Rattus norvegicus: one gene and its partners. The main gene of each other region encodes a partner of the protein of the gene in region 4 in a complex. Links are inferred from orthologs where the notes say so. Each region holds a gene or a part of one and is shown on either strand. Other genes may lie near its edges.

The links. The genes of interacting proteins can lie anywhere in the genome.
Region 1: Arid1b (region 4) and Smarcb1 share a complex: the UniProt entries of both Homo sapiens proteins name them as parts of the neuron-specific chromatin remodeling complex. The link is inferred for Rattus norvegicus from reciprocal best matches to the Homo sapiens genes ARID1B and SMARCB1.
Region 2: Arid1b (region 4) and Smarcd3 share a complex: the UniProt entries of both Homo sapiens proteins name them as parts of the neuron-specific chromatin remodeling complex. The link is inferred for Rattus norvegicus from reciprocal best matches to the Homo sapiens genes ARID1B and SMARCD3.
Region 3: Arid1b (region 4) and Phf10 share a complex: the UniProt entries of both Homo sapiens proteins name them as parts of the neural progenitors-specific chromatin remodeling complex. The link is inferred for Rattus norvegicus from reciprocal best matches to the Homo sapiens genes ARID1B and PHF10.

What each region holds. Positions count from the first base shown.
Region 1 is NC_086038.1:12,739,515-12,743,747, reverse strand, and holds the start of Smarcb1 (SWI/SNF-related matrix-associated actin-dependent regulator of chromatin subfamily B member 1), read right to left. Parts: upstream 2,801-4,233; 5' UTR 2,605-2,800; coding exon 2,512-2,604; intron 1-2,511.
Region 2 is NC_086022.1:11,461,958-11,466,075, forward strand, and holds the start of Smarcd3 (SWI/SNF-related matrix-associated actin-dependent regulator of chromatin subfamily D member 3), read left to right. Parts: upstream 1-1,318; 5' UTR 1,319-1,449; coding exon 1,450-1,527; intron 1,528-4,118. UniProt on the Homo sapiens protein: Involved in transcriptional activation and repression of select genes by chromatin remodeling (alteration of DNA-nucleosome topology).
Region 3 is NC_086019.1:64,638,868-64,643,075, forward strand, and holds the start of Phf10 (PHD finger protein 10), read right to left. Parts: upstream 2,801-4,208; coding exon 2,717-2,800; intron 947-2,716; coding exon 840-946; intron 1-839. UniProt on the Homo sapiens protein: Involved in transcription activity regulation by chromatin remodeling. Belongs to the neural progenitors-specific chromatin remodeling complex (npBAF complex) and is required for the proliferation of neural progenitors.
Region 4 is NC_086019.1:48,295,357-48,299,098, reverse strand, and holds part of Arid1b (AT-rich interactive domain-containing protein 1B), read right to left. Parts: intron 1,761-3,742; coding exon 1,651-1,760; intron 978-1,650; coding exon 819-977; intron 1-818. UniProt on the Homo sapiens protein: Involved in transcriptional activation and repression of select genes by chromatin remodeling (alteration of DNA-nucleosome topology).

The DNA of each region.
Region 1 (4,233 bases), on a different chromosome or scaffold from region 4:
AAAGATTCTGGACTTGGGCATTCATTTCTTCAAAGTCCTGTGACTCCTGTGGCAAATGACAGGATGACAGGGACATAGTCATATCCGCTGCAGACGTCCTCCCAAAGCAGCTCCACAGAGGTCAGAGACACTGCTAGTGTGCTGCATCTGTCCCATCTGTCTAAAACTGAATCCATCATCCAGACAATACTGCAGACAGAAAATACTATATGACCCTGTGCTCTTCCCAAAATCAAAGCCAGGCTCCAAGGAGTGAGAAACCACCCATTTTGGTCTTGGGGATAACTATTCTCATTCAACTGGGAAGGCAAAGAGTCAAGAGCCCAAAAGGAGGCTGTGGTTGGACTTCTAAAACCGAAAACATTCGATGACAATTACCTCAAGAGACATGTATTTCCAGTTTAAACATCTCGGATGCATGAGAAAAATAAAACCGGTCAAGAGTACTCAGTGCAAGAACACGTGTTCAGTGCGCAAAGGCTCAGGGCTCCCCAGCATGAGAACTGAGGAAGGCAGGAGAAGAGAGTGGCGAGAGGGTAAGGAGGCACAGCAAGCTGTCCCGAGGTTCTTCCCACATGACCAGGAGCTGTCTCTCAATTGCTCCACCAGATACGTATTTTCTTTTCAAAACTACCCCCAGCCTCTTAGAGCTCAGGCCAGATTTACTCTTTCACTGGTCAGTTCAGGGAAGCGTCTTTCAACAAATTCTCCTGCATAGATTGTTCCTTATGTACTGACCTTGCATTTGCACAAATGCCTACTGGCCAACCAGCACCCTTCCGAGCCACAGGAGATGGCCGGGCCCTGACTGCACGTCCCCAGCACTGCCACCTTGGAACAGTAGCAGAGGTGATGGTGGGAACAGTCATGGCAGCCTGCACTTTTTGTTTAATGGAAAAAAGTGAAAGCAGAAATGCTAAGTCTAGATGTTTCTGACAATACTGGTCCCACTACCTGATTCAACCAACACCCTAATGGAGTATAAGACACTCAACAGCTGCCAGGAGGTAACTGCTGGCAGTTTGAAATGGCATTAGTTAGCTCTCTAGGGTGGGCCCTACCTCCTTACACATGCTATATGTCTACTGGTTAATATTCACATATTGAGGGGTTGGGGATTTAGCTCAGTGGTAGAGCGCTTGTCTAGCAAGCGCAAGGCCCCCAGCTCCGAAAAAAAGAAAAGAAAAAAAATTTCACATATTGGAATTTTATGGTTTTTTTTTTTTCTTTTGAGACTACGTAGACCAGGCTGGACTCAAACTCACCCTCTATTCTACCTCTGGAGTGTTCAGGTTAAAGGTGCAGCCTAGTGCTTGGCCACCCACAGCTTAAAATACAAAAACAAAACAAAAACAAAAACAAAAAAAAACAATAAAGAAAAAGAAAGAAAGAAAAGGAAACATAAACGGGATGTGGTGGCACCAAGTGCTTTGATCCCAGCATTTGAGAGGCAGAGGCAGGTGGATTTCTGTGAGTTCAAGGTTAGCCAGGTCTCAAAGGGGAGTTGCAAACCAGCCAGGGTCACACAATGAGATCTTGTCTCAAAGAGAAGGGGGGAGTGGAGACATAAACTGGTTGGCGGTTGCCCTTAGATGGAAGAAAGCTAGTTTGAGACAATCTGTTTTAAAAAAGAAAGAAAAGAAACTTCATACATTTGGCTGGTCTGTAGGTCTAATTGTAGGGTTTTTCTAAGACAGTGGTTCTCAGCCTTCCTAATGCTGTGACCCTTTAATACAGTTTCTCATGTTGTGATGACCCCTCACCATAAAATTCTCCCGTTGCTACTTCATAACTATAATTCTGCTAGAGTTACAAATCATAATGTCACTATCTTATATGCGGGATATCTGATGTGGGAGCCCTATGAAAGGGGTAGCAACACACAAGAGCGAACCTAAGGAACTATGTCCACTTAACTGAACAGGGGCTGTCTCTTCTAGTTATGAGTTATGGGTTAGCGATCCTTAGATTTATCCCCTATAAAGACTCAAAATCAGTTCACAGATCTCCAAAATGTTAGTGCTTCTGGCCTTGGGGCCTCAACCACTCAAAAGCAAACATCCTCCTCCAATCACTTTCTACACATCATAAAACTTATGCTACTGCACTCCACCACAGAAACAAGGACACAAAGGGGAGGAGGTTTTCCTAAGCCTCAGGCTTACAACTAGAGGTTTCAAGACCATGGCAGTGGGGTGCACGAGAGCTGCCGAAGGGCTCAAGGGCAGTACTGCACCTCCAAGCACCCAGGGGCTTCCCAAACATCCTTTTTCCATTTGCCTAGAGTGAACCGGCTCGATGCTCTAAGCTCTAAGCTAGGGCAGATGCTTAGGGTCGGATGTTAAGTGGGTAAGGAAACCTAGAGGCCACGCCCACCAGGCCACGCCCCAGCTGCGAGCACGAGCCCGCCTCCGCGATGAATGGAGGCGCGCACTCGGGGAGCACTGGCCCGCCCCGGGATTCGAGCCGGCCAGCCGCTGCTCGGGAAGCCGAGAACGCGCCGCGGGCTACCTCGGAGCCGATCATGTAGAACTCCCCGTCGTCCTCCAGCTGAAACTTGACGGGCTTCTGCCCGAAGGTCTTGCTCAACGCCATCATCATCATGGCGGCGGGGGAAACTGGCAGCCGGGGTCGAGCTGGAAAGAATCCGGTGGGCTGGGGCGGGGCCGAGGCGCGTCGGACCGAAAGGAACGGAGGCCGGGAGGTGAAGGACGGACAGGGCGAGCCGGGCAAACCGGGAAGGCGCTCGCGTCACTACTAGGTTCTTAAGCCGTCTCTGCGAAGAGCAGGCCTCCCTCCGTGCGCATGCGCGTGGGGGTGCTGACGCTAACGTGCGCGCCGCCGCCTGCGCGAGCGCGTTCCCGCAGGCCCTTAAAGGGACCCGAGCTTCTTTTGCTTCCAGGCGGGTATGGAGGGAAACTTCTCAGCGACAGAAATAGCCACTGAGGTCCTGACTCAGGCGGTGGCTTTTCTAGTGGCACAGCCTGAGATGGCACTCCGCCCTGGGATGAAGGGAATAAATGAGATGTTAAGCGGGGAGAAGAACCGCTCCATCTGGAGCGGGGTGGGCATGGCGACCCCAGGCCGGCCAGGTTCTCCACCCGAAGGTGCGCTAGGAATAGCTAGCTATCCGCTGCAGGCCCACAGCTATTCCCGAGGCAGTAGGGATGGGAAGAATAACAGTACTGGATGGAGGTTGGTACTATTCAAAGATCTATATAATGTGCCAGGTGACCGGGAAGAGACACTTGCCTTCCTTCCTTACCTCTGCAAGCTTGGTGCCCACAAGCCCAGTCCTGTTCTGTGCCTCTGCCGGCCTTGGGCCTTAACAGCCCCGAGGCAAGACAGAGCTTCTGGAAAGTGTCCAAGCAGTCCACCCTCTGTTGAACAGAGCCTTGACTCCAAAATGTTTAAGTAATGTTTATTGTAGCGCTATTACAATAGCTTAAGTTATAGCCCAGCCTAGGTAGAAGAATGGTTGAAGAAAATGTAATCTAGGCAGGGTGTCGTGGCTAGCCCCAGCACTCGGGAGGCAGAGACAGGAGGATTTCTGTGAGTTATAGGCAAGTCTACACAGTGAGTTTCAGGACAGCCAGGGGTAGGTAGAGAAACTGTCTCAGAAAAAAATAAAATAAAATAAAGCAAAAAGAGTGAAATGTGTGTACACGACGGAATTATTTTTTCAGCCCCCAAAACGAAATCGTTTTCAGGAAAATGGATGCAACTGGAGATAATCGTATTAAATCAAGCCAGTCTGAGAAAGACAAATAGGTTTTCTCTCCTTTGTGCTTTCTAGATTTCACATAGATTCATAAAATATGTACTACACAGAACATGAAAGAAAAGTGACATTGTGTATGGGAGCAAAGGGACTAACAGGAGAGGGAGGGGGGATAGGGGAAGTGGGGTATGGGAGGGGGAGGATGTACAAAATATAAATACCTTTAAGAAAGTGGAAATCAAACTGGCCAGTTTCATAAGGGTCAGCCTAATGAGACCATAGTTGTGACTAGGGTCCTTAGGAAGGAGATGTTAACTAGGAAGGGCCGTGGTAACCAGGAGTTTGCCCAACTGTCCTCACAGCCACGGGAACCAGAGTGTTAAGGGCCAGGCATGGTGGTTCACACTTTTAATCCCAGAACTCCAGAATCCTAGGCAGGCAGACCTCCGTGAGTTCCAGGACATGATGTGTGAGACCATCCCTTCCCCCAGGTAATTAGGCACGATCGGATA
Region 2 (4,118 bases), on a different chromosome or scaffold from region 4:
TAATCTGTTCCCACAAGTTCCCTCAGGCATTGCCCCTCCCTCAGTCCCACCCCCAGCTAGCCCATTAACGTGACCCTTGGTTGTCTCAAAGCTCGGGGACTCCTCCTCCTGAAGGTGTGGACAGGCGTGGCTTGTGGCATGGGCGGGGCTTGGGCTCAACCTAGGGATTTCAGGATCTGCCCCCTCCTTTCTGTTCTTCCTCCCCTCCGGGATTGGCCAGTTCTCTCCACACTGTCCCATTTGGGGTTTCTTCATCTTCATACACCACACTCCTGCTTTCTTTTTGGTTCTGGGGCGGACTTCACGAACCCCAGACTCTGCGTCTCCACGCCAAGCCATCAAGCCCTGTTTGCCTCACCCTTTCCTCCTACCCACCCAAGTACCCACCCTGGATCCGCGCCATTCCTCACAATGTACTCCTCCTGTTCTCATGAGCCCAATCCATGTCCCCCTTTCGGAAATACTTCCCCTATTGCCCTCACTTTCTCACACAGAGTCAAACAAAGACTCACGAGCCCAGAAATAAACTCCCACAGAGCTGAAAGACACGGGCCGTGTCCTGCTCCGCACGCACGCGCGCAAGCTCGGCGGCTCTTGTGGAGGGAAGCACACCGACGGGGCGTTTGTCAGTGCACGCACATAAACATCCACACCCACAGCCTCTGCGCCGTGCCACAAAAGGGTGCAGACACACGGTGTGCGAGACAAGGGCACACACATCTGCGGGCGCCCAGGAGCCCGCCTAGCCCGGCACACCCACCGCGGCTGGCCCTGGGACAGGAGCAAGGCCTGCTCCGGGCTCGGGCTCCCCCCAGATTCCTTGCAGCAAATGTTTCCCTACTTGGCCTGCCTGGTCCCTGGGGAAAGGGCCTCAGAAATGCGGCAGGAGCCACTTGGGGAAAGAAAGTTGGAACTGCCTGTTCCCTGCCTGGCCCTGTCGGCGAATTCCCTAACCGAGAAACTATTTGTGGCGAGGGCAGGGTGGCTAGCGAGCCCCCTGTCACCTCCCATGGTGTCCCCTCCCCGTGCCACCACCGATGGGCCCCGGGCGGCCTGGGCGCAGCTGAGCTGCCCATCGCGCAGCCTCCGGGCAGATCGGCTCGTCTCGCCGCTTCTGTGCGCCGCTTGGACCACGCGGAGTGCACGGAAGGGCCGCTCTGTCCCCGGCGCGTCGCAGGCAGACCCCGGGCCGCCGGACTATTTCTGTCTTATCAGTGCAGGAATGCGGCAGCCGCGGCGGCGGCGGCGGCGGCGGCGGGCGGGCGGCGGCGGCGTGGGCCGTGGGCCGTCAGGGCAGCCCTGAAGGGGCCCCCTCCCCACTCCGCTCGAGTAGAAGTGTGAGAGAGCCCAGCAGGACTCAGAGGGGAGAGTTGGAGGAAAAAAAAGGCAGAAAAGGGAAAGAAAGAGGAAGAGAGAGAGAGAGTGAGAGGAGCCGCTGAGCCCACCCCGATGGCCGCGGACGAAGTTGCCGGAGGGGCGCGCAAAGCCACGAAAAGCAAACTTTTTGAGTTTCTGGTCCATGGGGTGGTGAGTGGGGGAAAGTTAGCGGGGGAGGGTGAGCGAGCTGGCTCGGGCTGAATGGAGGGATGATCGGGAGGGGCCGCCGGCGCGCTCCCGCTCTCCCACCCCTTTGGTTGGGGGGCGCACGGTCACGGCCCAACCCTGGGACCTTGCCGGCGCCCTGGCATCCGAACACGTCGCCAAGCGGTCGGCTGGGGATGGGCGCGCGGCGGCTGGGAAGAGAGGCGTCGGCTTGGGTTCTTATCAGGGGCAAGGGGTGGGATGTGGGCACCGTGTCTCCCCCAAGAGGGGGGTCCCCTCAGTAACTGACATATCTCACATTCTTTTACTGGTGGGCTCAGGTGTTACCCCTGCCCTGGGGGTGGGGGTGGGGTGGTGATTCGAACACACAGCTAGGGCTGGGCTGCCTGTTGTCCCTGTTCATCCTTTGGGACAGGGTCACTCTGATTAGGTCTGAAGAACTAAGAGCAGGTGACCCTGAAGGCACCTAAGAGCCAAAGCTCTCTGGCTGAGCAACCCCTGCATCCTAGCAGGAGGGCCTTGAGTACTTGGCCCCGATGTCAGAGCTGAGAGAGGCCTACTTGAGAGACCCCAAGTTAAGCAGTCAGAGGACCTCCTTGGCAGGCTCAGCCACCAGAAAGTTGATGACCTTAACACCTCAAAGGTGTGAGGGAGGGGCTGGAGTTGGGGACATGAGGCCTAGAGACCAAAGGGATAAGACTATACTTACTGTTCTAACACCGACACACCGACACACACACACACACACACACACATACAGACACACACACACACACACACACACACACACACACACACACACACACACGAAGAGTCTGAGGGTACTCAGGGACCTAATGAGGTAGACACTTGAATTCAGTTAGCAGACAGAGCGCCTGGCTATGAGGAGCTCCAAGCCTGGGCACATGGAGGGAAGAATCAGTCAGATTCACTATGATCAAATTTGGTTGTGACCCCTGGAAGCACCTTTTCAGTGAGAGAGGCAAGGGCCCCCAGAATCTGACCTCTATGAGGGGGTACTAATGGCAGGCCTCTGGGATCCCCTAGAAGGCTTCTCCTCAGGGCCTCTCAGTAGACCAGACAGTATCAGTGGCCTTGATGAATAGGAGAGCAGTTGATAGGGAAGAGGGCTTCTCTGTGGCAGCCTGTTCTAGCCTTAGGGATATCTGGGGTGTAATTTCCAAGACAGCCCTGTGGACTAGTGGAGTTACCAGTCCTGACCTGGCTGCTTGAGTAGTCGCTTGAAAGAGTACGACCCCATGAAGAATTAATTGAATATGGCCACCTTGGAGGTTCAGTTCTTGGATGATGATTAGGGCCCCCTCTATAGTCATGAAGGGTGGCTAGGCCTGAGCTTCTACCCTGGTGGCATTGGTGCTGTGAGTGACAGAGCCAGGTGGAGTGGGGGTGGCAGATTCAGGGACAGGCCAGTTTCACTGCAGAAGAGATGAGCAGAGACAGCTGCTGGCTATGGGTGGAGACCTTAGGGGTAAGCAGTGTAAGAGGAGAAAGGAAGCCTGGGAGTTAGGGTTAAGGCTTCTTAGTCTGGGGGCAAGATGAGGGCGTGCGTGCCTGCCTGCGTGCCTGCGTGCTCGAGGGCGCATGCGCATGGTCTTCAGTAGCCCAAGCTGGCCTCAAATTCACTATATATCAGTACTTGACTTCCTGCCTCCACCTCAATATTGGGATTACAAGTGTGTGCTATCATGTGCAGTTTATTTGATACTGGGGATCGAACCCAGGTCTCCACATGTGTTGCACAAGCCCTGTACCAAGCTACATCCCTAGCCTGAGATGGGGGTGTTTAAATAGGGTTTTCATACCTCTCTCCCTAATACCCTTCCTGTTCTTCTGAACTCGTCCCACCTCCTGACTAGTCCCAAAACCTCAGCCCCCTTCCTGGGCTTGGACAAGTGAAATCTGTAACACTTCACTCACATTGGCATCTCCTCTGTTTTGATTGACTGAGTAGAGGTGGTGGCCGGGGAAAATCAATCTGCCTCATTTCCCTCCAATTTCTACCCTTCCTGGGATTGGGTGGGGAATGGGTTGACTCTTATGTGATCAGATGGGAGAGGGAATGAATGCTGCTACAGATGCTGCTTCCTTCAACCGTCCCTGCACTGGCAGCCCACTTCTAGTCCAGTTCCCCACTTGCCACTAGGCAGAGTCTGATGACACCAGACCCTCAGGTGCCCTTGCCTCTTGTATCACCTTGGGAGAAATGACATTAAAGAGGCAGGCTAAGTCGGTGGGTGTGGAGACCTGGAGTTAGCTGAACCAGTTATGTTTGAGATTGAGGTGCCAAAGCCGGGGGCTCTGAAAGGGAGATGGGGGCTCAAGTACAAAGCACATCAGCCCCAGAAGTGGGGTGTGGAAATTGGGAAATGAGAAATGAGGACAGGAAATCAGCCCCTCACCGCAGCGAAGCAGCGGGGAGCAGGGCCGGTCAGGTGCTGCCTTTGCCGGGAAGAGCAGGGTGACCTTGGCGAGGTCGCTTTTTTCTTTGAGCCCCAGTTGCCCCATCTGTCAAGTGGGGATGAAAAGACCTGCTCTGACTGGCTCGCAGAGAGCCG
Region 3 (4,208 bases), about 16 Mb from region 4:
ATGGTGGTACCACTGGAAATGTATGGAAGGTCCTTATAAAAGCTGAACACAGAATTACCATATGGTACAGCTTTCCACTTCTAGCTATATACCAGGGTACTAAGAGCAAGGGTTCTGAACGCCAGTGTTCACTTCAGCATTAATTACCCCAGCCTGCAGGCATACACAGGAATAAGCAAAATGTAGCAGCACATACAGTGGAATATCGTTCAGACTTCAGGACCTCCAACACAGATGAACCTTGAAGATAATATGGTTAGGGATAGGCACTGTATGGTTCACAGTCAGGGGCAGGAAGGAGAACTTAGTTGGTAACCAACCAGCAGCAGGGGGCAGGAAGGAACAGGAGGTACTGGGGGGTTCTGCAGTTTCACTACTGAAGTTTTGAAAAGGGGTGAGAGTGATGGTTGCACAATATTGTAAATGTAATTAATGCCACTGAACTATACTTCTTATATATAAAAAGTGTTACGATGGCTGTATTTTATGTACCTATTTTATCGTTTGTTTTTTTTAATAGTTCTCAGGAGCAAGACCAACTTCGATATTATATTATATGACTCTTTTTTAAAGATTTGTTTGTTTGCTTGCTTTGTGTATATGTGTACAAACATCTGTGGAGGACAGAATGGAACATCAGCGCCTCTGGAGCTTACAGGAGACTGGGGGAGGTGGGTGCTGGTAACCAATCTCCAGTTAGACAAGCATTCTTAACTTCTGAGCCATCTCTCCAGCCCATACATATAATTTTTAATAACTTTTCATGCTGCCTGGGATAGGAAAGAAGAAGTGAGCAAACAGTTTACAGAAGTCACTACTGAGCCTTAAAGCAGCAGTACCTAAGATCTTGACTTGAAGTCTCGCAACTTCTTGAACTATCCCCTGAACCCATTCGTCTTCTTTTAGATGGATGACCCCCATCATTTGAGTTATCTTCATTATCATCCTGTACATTAAAAAAATGGAAAATGTTAAAATGAATTAAAAACAAAGAGTGATTCTGTATCATTCCAGTCTGCCTAAATATCAACAAGAGAAAGCACATTTCTACCTAGTGTCCTTAGAAAACTTAATTTTAGAATAATTAAAAGGACAGAGAATTTGTTATAAGAAATGGAATAAATCTAAAAACTGACCTTCAATCTAAACAAAATTGATTTTCAACTATATTTTAAATGTACTCTGCTTTCATTTTCTTACCAACTAGGTTGTGTTCAAATGTCTTCTGCTTTTTAATAGCAAAACCACTTTAAAATCAAAGTAAGCCTTCCTATTTGAGCTGGGAAATAAATACTAACAAATTTTGTAGCACACTTCCATTTACAACTGGCCTACCAGATCACATTCTAATTAGCTACTTTGCAGATGAAGGACTGGACACAGGTTACCAAGTCTAACTACATTCTTTTTCTTCTATAGCAGAAATTCAGCACATTGTGATAAGCTCATAGAAGATATAAGTTGTTGAGCCATTCCATTAAGGAAAGAAGTAGTCAAATGTTTTTAAAATAATTCATTTACATATTGCTCATGGCTTCAGCTCATAGTTCTTTAAATCAAGGTACTATAGCTCTTAACACTACTAATCTTACTATATATTTCAATAAGGACCCGCGAAAGAAAATAAAAAGGAAGCACAGGCCAGCACGTCAGGTCAGCATGCCACTGTGGGCTGCCTGGAGTCGTATGGAGCAGCTGTCCACCAGCTGTGTGGTAACCTGCCAGCTTCTCCCTGTCTGAAAGCCTAGGTGGCTGATGCAAGGATTCAGTGAAGTGATACATGAGCACATGAAGAGCAAGGGCTAGTGCATAACTGATATATGTTAACGTTGAGGTTAGCAGTGATTTTACATTTCACTATGTCTCTAGCACCTAGGAATTTACTAAAATTATTTTTCAAATTAAAAAAAAAGAAACCATTCTCCTTTTCACTCATCAAAAATGAAGTCAAGTAAACAAACTTAATATTCCTTTTTAAAACTAAAAAACAAGTTGAAAGATAATATTTAATATTTAATTTTTCACAGTACTCATATTCCATACTTGCTTGACAAGGTTCATTTTAAGCTCTGAAGCATTTTAAGCGCTATTTTACTAATTTGTGAATATTTTAAAGATTTCTGTTTAAAAACGCTTTTAGTTAAAAACAATGATCCATTCGAAAAGAAACAATAATGGAAGTTGACACAGAGTTTAACAGCTCACAACCGTATGAATTCTAAGGGCTACGTTCCAGGTAAGGCCCTCTTCTCTGCAAGGTCCTCAGTCGGGGCCAGGAGCCAGCAGCCCCCGGGCGCTGCTCTGACTCGGGCCCGGCCACAGTGAGGTTCACAGGGGAGCAGACAGAGGCCCCGCGGGGAGGGACGGGCACGTGGACGGGTCACTTCGGCTGGCCGAGTCTGTGGGTGTGAACCCACGTTCTGCCAACTCGGGACCACGAGCGCACGCCCCGCTCAGCGTCTCCTGGACTTGAGATCCCAAAAGGCCGCAACTTTTCTGACTTCCCCAGGCTGCGGGCGCTCCGTCTCAACCACTCTTCGCGAGTCTTCCGGTCCCTACTACTCCCCGACAACTTCCCACCCGCCGCGCAGGTCTCCCTGAGGTCCGCGCCCACCGTTCGCCGCACTTGTTGCTTGGGGACCCGCCGTCCTGTCCCCACTGCGCTCCCGAACCCGGCCCGGGCCGCTGCAGCCGTTGGGCAGCGCGCTCCGCTCACCTTCGGGGACTGCGCTCCGGGGGAGGCCGGGTCGCTGTCGCACCGCCGCGGGGACAGCGCCGCCCCGGGCCCGGCCGCTGCCATCAGCCCCAGCGCCCCGCGCCTCCGTCGTCGTCGCCGCCGTCGCCTAGTCCCAGCCGCCGCCGCCGCCGCTGCCGCCGCTGTCGCGCGGGCCGCCCGGCGCCCCGGCCCCGCCCCCTCCGCCCGCCCGCCCGGGGGCCGGCCCCTGCCGCCGCGCGCCCCGCGGCCCGCCAGCGCCACCGCCATGGCCGCCAGCGCGCCGCCGGCCGGGACCCGCACGCCGCTCACGTCAGCCGGCTGCAGCTGCGCGGCTCTACGGGCCTGGGCCGGGGCCCGCCGCCTTGCCGCCTTCACCCGGCCCGCCGCGCCCGGCCTGAGCTCCGCTGGCCAGCTGCCGCCTTGGCCCGGGCCCCGGCCCGACCCGGGTTCCTGGCCGCCTGGCGAGCTCGCCGCCGCCCCTTCCCTGCGCCCCCAGCCCGGCCCTTCGCGTCAGCCGCGGCTCCGCGCCGCCCCGCCCCGCCGCGGTCCCGCCCCCTCCCCTCCTCCGCCGCGCGTCAGCCGGGGGTCCTCAGTCGGCGGCGGCTGCCTAGTCCCCACCTGGGTCGCCAGCTCCTCCCGTGAAAGATGGGTCCCTACCACGCGTGTCCTCCAACCCCCACCCCTACACACACACACACACACCGGTGCCCAGCTCCTCCCCTCAGCCAGGGGTCTCCACCACGCTGTCTCTTCCCGCCCCCACCCCGAATCAAGGGTCCCCGCTACGTGGTATCCTCCCACCACCGGTCCCAGCCCCTCCCCTCAGCCTGGGGTCCCCACACCCGCGGCCACCTTCCCCTTCTCCACCAGTGTCTGCGCTCCCTTCTGTAACTGAAGGATTTGAGTCCTCAGTCTACTTCCTCCTCTCTCCTCAGCCCTGAGGGTCAACCACCCCAGGAGCTCCGCCTCCTCTCTCCTTGAGATCCCCTCTCCTGTAGTGCCTTTTCCCCACCCCGCCATCTTCACTCCGCACACCTCTGGGTCCCCAAGGCGCCCTTGGCTCCTTTGTTCTACATTTGCCACTCCCGAAACCTAGGTGTAGTGGCCACGAGAAAAGTCAGAGCAGCACTCTGGCTGAACAGGACCCAATCAGGCAAGAACATAGAGAAGGTCCCCCAAACCATATGACAGTGTCAGAAAACATAATCACCTGCAGGACACAGGATTGGGAATCCCTGGGAAATGAAAGCCAGTGTGCTTGGATTTATATTGATCCTAGTTCTTAGACTTCGCCTTTTGAAAGGCCGGACCCCACCCTTTGAAAGGAGCACCAGGAAGACAACAGGTCCAATAGACAAAGGCAAGGGACAGAGAAGCACCCCTATGCTCCCCAGCCCCCATCCACAACACTCCCCACAACTCTTCCAAGAATGTACAGGACCAGATCAGAAAAGATGATCTAGCTCTTGGATTTCAGAATTTGAGTTCCCTT
Region 4 (3,742 bases):
TTTGATTCCCTATGAGTGTATAGGAAAAAGGTCACTGTAACACACTACTTATTTTTATTGGTACAGTGCAAATTTTTAGAAGGAGTAAAGTCCAACTCGGCGACCAAAGAGCATTTCCTGGCATGCACACAGCGTTGCTGTCATTTATACAGCACACCTATTTCTAGACTGCTAGCATTTTGTGTGGAATGGGTCCTGTCTCTCCTAATGGCTCTGATACACACACACACACACACACACACACACACACACACACACACACACACACACACACATATTCTTAGTCTAAAAATTCACATGCACTAACATTTCCAAATCTCTGTTAATTTCAGACATACAGCGAGGCAGGGCTGTTGTTATGCTATGCTGTGCCCGCCTGCAATATTTATTCATTTGGGGAGGCAGCTTTAGACTATGTTTTAGATGTAACAGCCCATGACAGAGTTAAACCGAGAGACAAGTGTGCCGTTTTCTCATGACCTCTATTAGTCCCCACCAATAGCAGCAGCTGGCTTTAGAGAAGCCTTCTATGGCTCACAGCCCACACTTCTGGAGGAGTCTGGGCCCCCAAAGCAGCAGCACACCTCCTTGTGGAGGTAGGCCTTTACCTCAGAGCAACTGCTGATAATGCCAGAAAGATCTATGCTACATATACATTTGTTTTGTTACTAATGTAATTACTTATTTAAAAGAAAGCTTTTTTATGGAGCAACAACTCAAGAGTTTTACAAAGCAAACCACCAAACAATAAAACATAATTCAGTATCTGCCCTAAATCCAAAAATAACAAAGAGAGACAAACAACCAGGGCCACTTACAGGGCTTGATGGAGTCTTGGGCCAGCCTGGGCTGCTAATGCTATCACTCTCATCTCCGTGAAAGGAGGAGATGCTGGCAGAGCTGGGGGACATTGGGGAAGGGACTGGCAGGTTGCCTGGAGTTGGAGGCTGAGAAATACCCTGAGAGCTGTAGCTATCCTGTGGGAGAGGAACAAAAATAAAACAACAAAGTTACGTCAAACTTTATTTAAAACAGAAGTACGTCCAGTTTAACTGACTAATTGTGTATGTGTGCATGTGTATCTCTCTATATATCACAACTGTATATATAAAGACACGTACACACACAGCCCCCAAAGTACCAAAGTATTCTTAGCATGGTTGGTCACTGGTCACTGTGAGGGATGCTGGAAAGGCCACAAAGCCACCATGCGTACTCCAGCTTAACTGGAATACTAGCTACGGATTACCCATATGTAAGAGAGTGAAAGAAAGATAAAGCACCATCTCCCTTATTTATGAAATACGGTAGGGAAGCAAAATAATATGGATGTGGTTGCTGAGGTGGGTGGCCAAAACAAGAAGCTCCAAACTAAAGGCAGAGAAATGACTCCAAGGGTCCACACCAGGCAACAGAGATCCCTTGCTTCCCCCACAGGCACCTCTCAAGTAGGTTTTGTCCTCCCCTCCCCCATGGTGATTTAACACTGTAAGAACCAGTAACTTTGATATTCACATCACAGGGGATATGCAGTAGGATAGAAAAGACTGCACACATGTGCAGGGAGGACCGTGGCGTGCGGGGAGGACCGTGGCGTGCGGGGAGGACCGTGGCGTGCAGGGAGGACTGTGGTGTGCGGGGAGGAAGTACCTTTGACTTGCTCTCAGGCTGGGGCACACCTTCTTCTTTGCCATCTGCTTTAAGAGGCACGGACAGTTTGGACTCACTGGGAGACATCATATCTGTAAGACCCATAGATGCTAATGGAAAATAGGAGAAAATCCGAGTTACACATGAGGTGTACCATGGCACCCCTGTTTACATGAGCTACTGAGTGAGGCACCAGCACCCAAGCTTCCCCTGAAGGAGAGAAAGGGGCAAAACAGACTAATCAAACAATCAGAAGAGTCATGGGCTCCTGAAGCACACTGATATATGAAAGAAAGGCTACACAGGGGGAGGGGCAGATTCTGTATGCTCAAGAGTCCCAGACGCTGGCTAGTTTATAATCGTTTTCTCTTTACCACAGCTTAAGCAGTAGTCATCAAGTCCACATGAGCGTCCTGTGCACTGCTTGCTCATGGGCTGGCAAGCAGCTTGCGTTTATCGGGGCTCTAGATGGTCTGGCCTTCTATTTCCTCAGCTCAAGTAATCTCTGTCCACAAAACCTTAGCTACTTCACATTGTCTAGTCTACAGCACAGGAGGAGCCGGATGAGGACTTAGGGGAAGGTCCCTATGACTTTACAGTGGGCCGCTGTCCCTTCAGCGGGCACAGAGCCTACAGTTACTAACCCTCCATAGGAGATGAAATAAATGCCCATAGCAGCTCCTGATACAACCTACACTTCCTATCTTCAGCTAAGAAATGCAGCCAGCTCCATCTAGGCCCTGTTAAAGTTTCAGACAACAATCGACTCATACATACTCATTGAAGACACCAAAAGACATGCTCTGAAGGCTTGATTTCTTTTTAAAAGAAGAATCCAACCATGGAGGGCAATCAGTGTAGTTATTGAGGGAACAGAGCTGAATTTCCATAGACCCTTAGAGAGCCATCTAGCTGCACATCCCTGCCCTAGAGGTTCTGAGTGCATGTGTAAAGAACAAGTGGAAACTGAGGCAGCGATCTGCACTCACTCCCTCCCTGTCAAGATGACAGAACTCTGAGGTTTCATAAGCAGGACCTGCTTCAGATGCTGCCATGGTGAGTGTGGACTCAGCCAGGCAGAGTAGAAAGTAGAAAGAAGGAAAAGCAAACCAGCCTGAATCAGACTCTGCAGATCGCCCACTACAAAACGATCACTGCACATATTCATGTATTACTAGGTTTTAGAAAATAATTAGTTTTAATTACAGCGGGGAGAGAAGGAGCGGGCTCTGGTGAGTTAGCTGGCAAGCTCCATGGTGCTAATTTGTTATTATCGTTAGCATCACTGCAGGTTGAGACCGTAGGTCCTGCCAAACAAGCCTACCCTGCCATGTGCCCTGGAGTTGACGTCAGTGCACGGTACCGTGCTCCGACCCTGTGCTGCCACAGGCACACTAGCTGGGTCTGTGGAGTTGGTTTGCAGCTCAGTCAGTCCTTAAAGGCACCACGACACACACAAATCATAATTGAGATGCTTTTCTCTTTTTTTTTTGAAATTACTTTCATACTTATACTTTAAGAACTGGAACAAAAAGCCTTTCAAGTGATGCAGCTGCAGAGAAAAATCTATTGGGATCAGCTAAAAATGTGTTATTTCTGTGAATGTGTGAAACCTCAAAAAAAAAAAAAAAAAAAGGGCAGCTGAGTGGTAGATTCTACGGCAGAGACAGCCCTGTGCAGAGCAGCAGCTGCTTTCATGCGGCTTCTCTGCAGGGCCCGCCGAGGCAGGAGGTAGTGGCCTGGCTGAAGAGGGGAAAGCAGTGCAGTGCATGGACGTCGGGTGCTCTGGCTCTTCTGCAGAGAGGGAGGAAGGCCATATCACATGGCTTCTATCAAATCCTGCGCTCCAGAGGCCAGAGTGGACTGTGTTGCCAGTATTTGTAAGTTATGTCTGGATATCATTTTGGCAGTAAGAATAGCAATATGTTTCCACACATATTACATACTAATGCATTTCACACATTAATGCACACAAAAGTAATTTTAAGCAGAAAGAGCTAAGCCAATTGTATTACAATAATCAGCAGTAATTTGCACTGATTCCATAATCAGACTCAGAGGACTATAAGCATATGTGACATTTGAGAGTCCC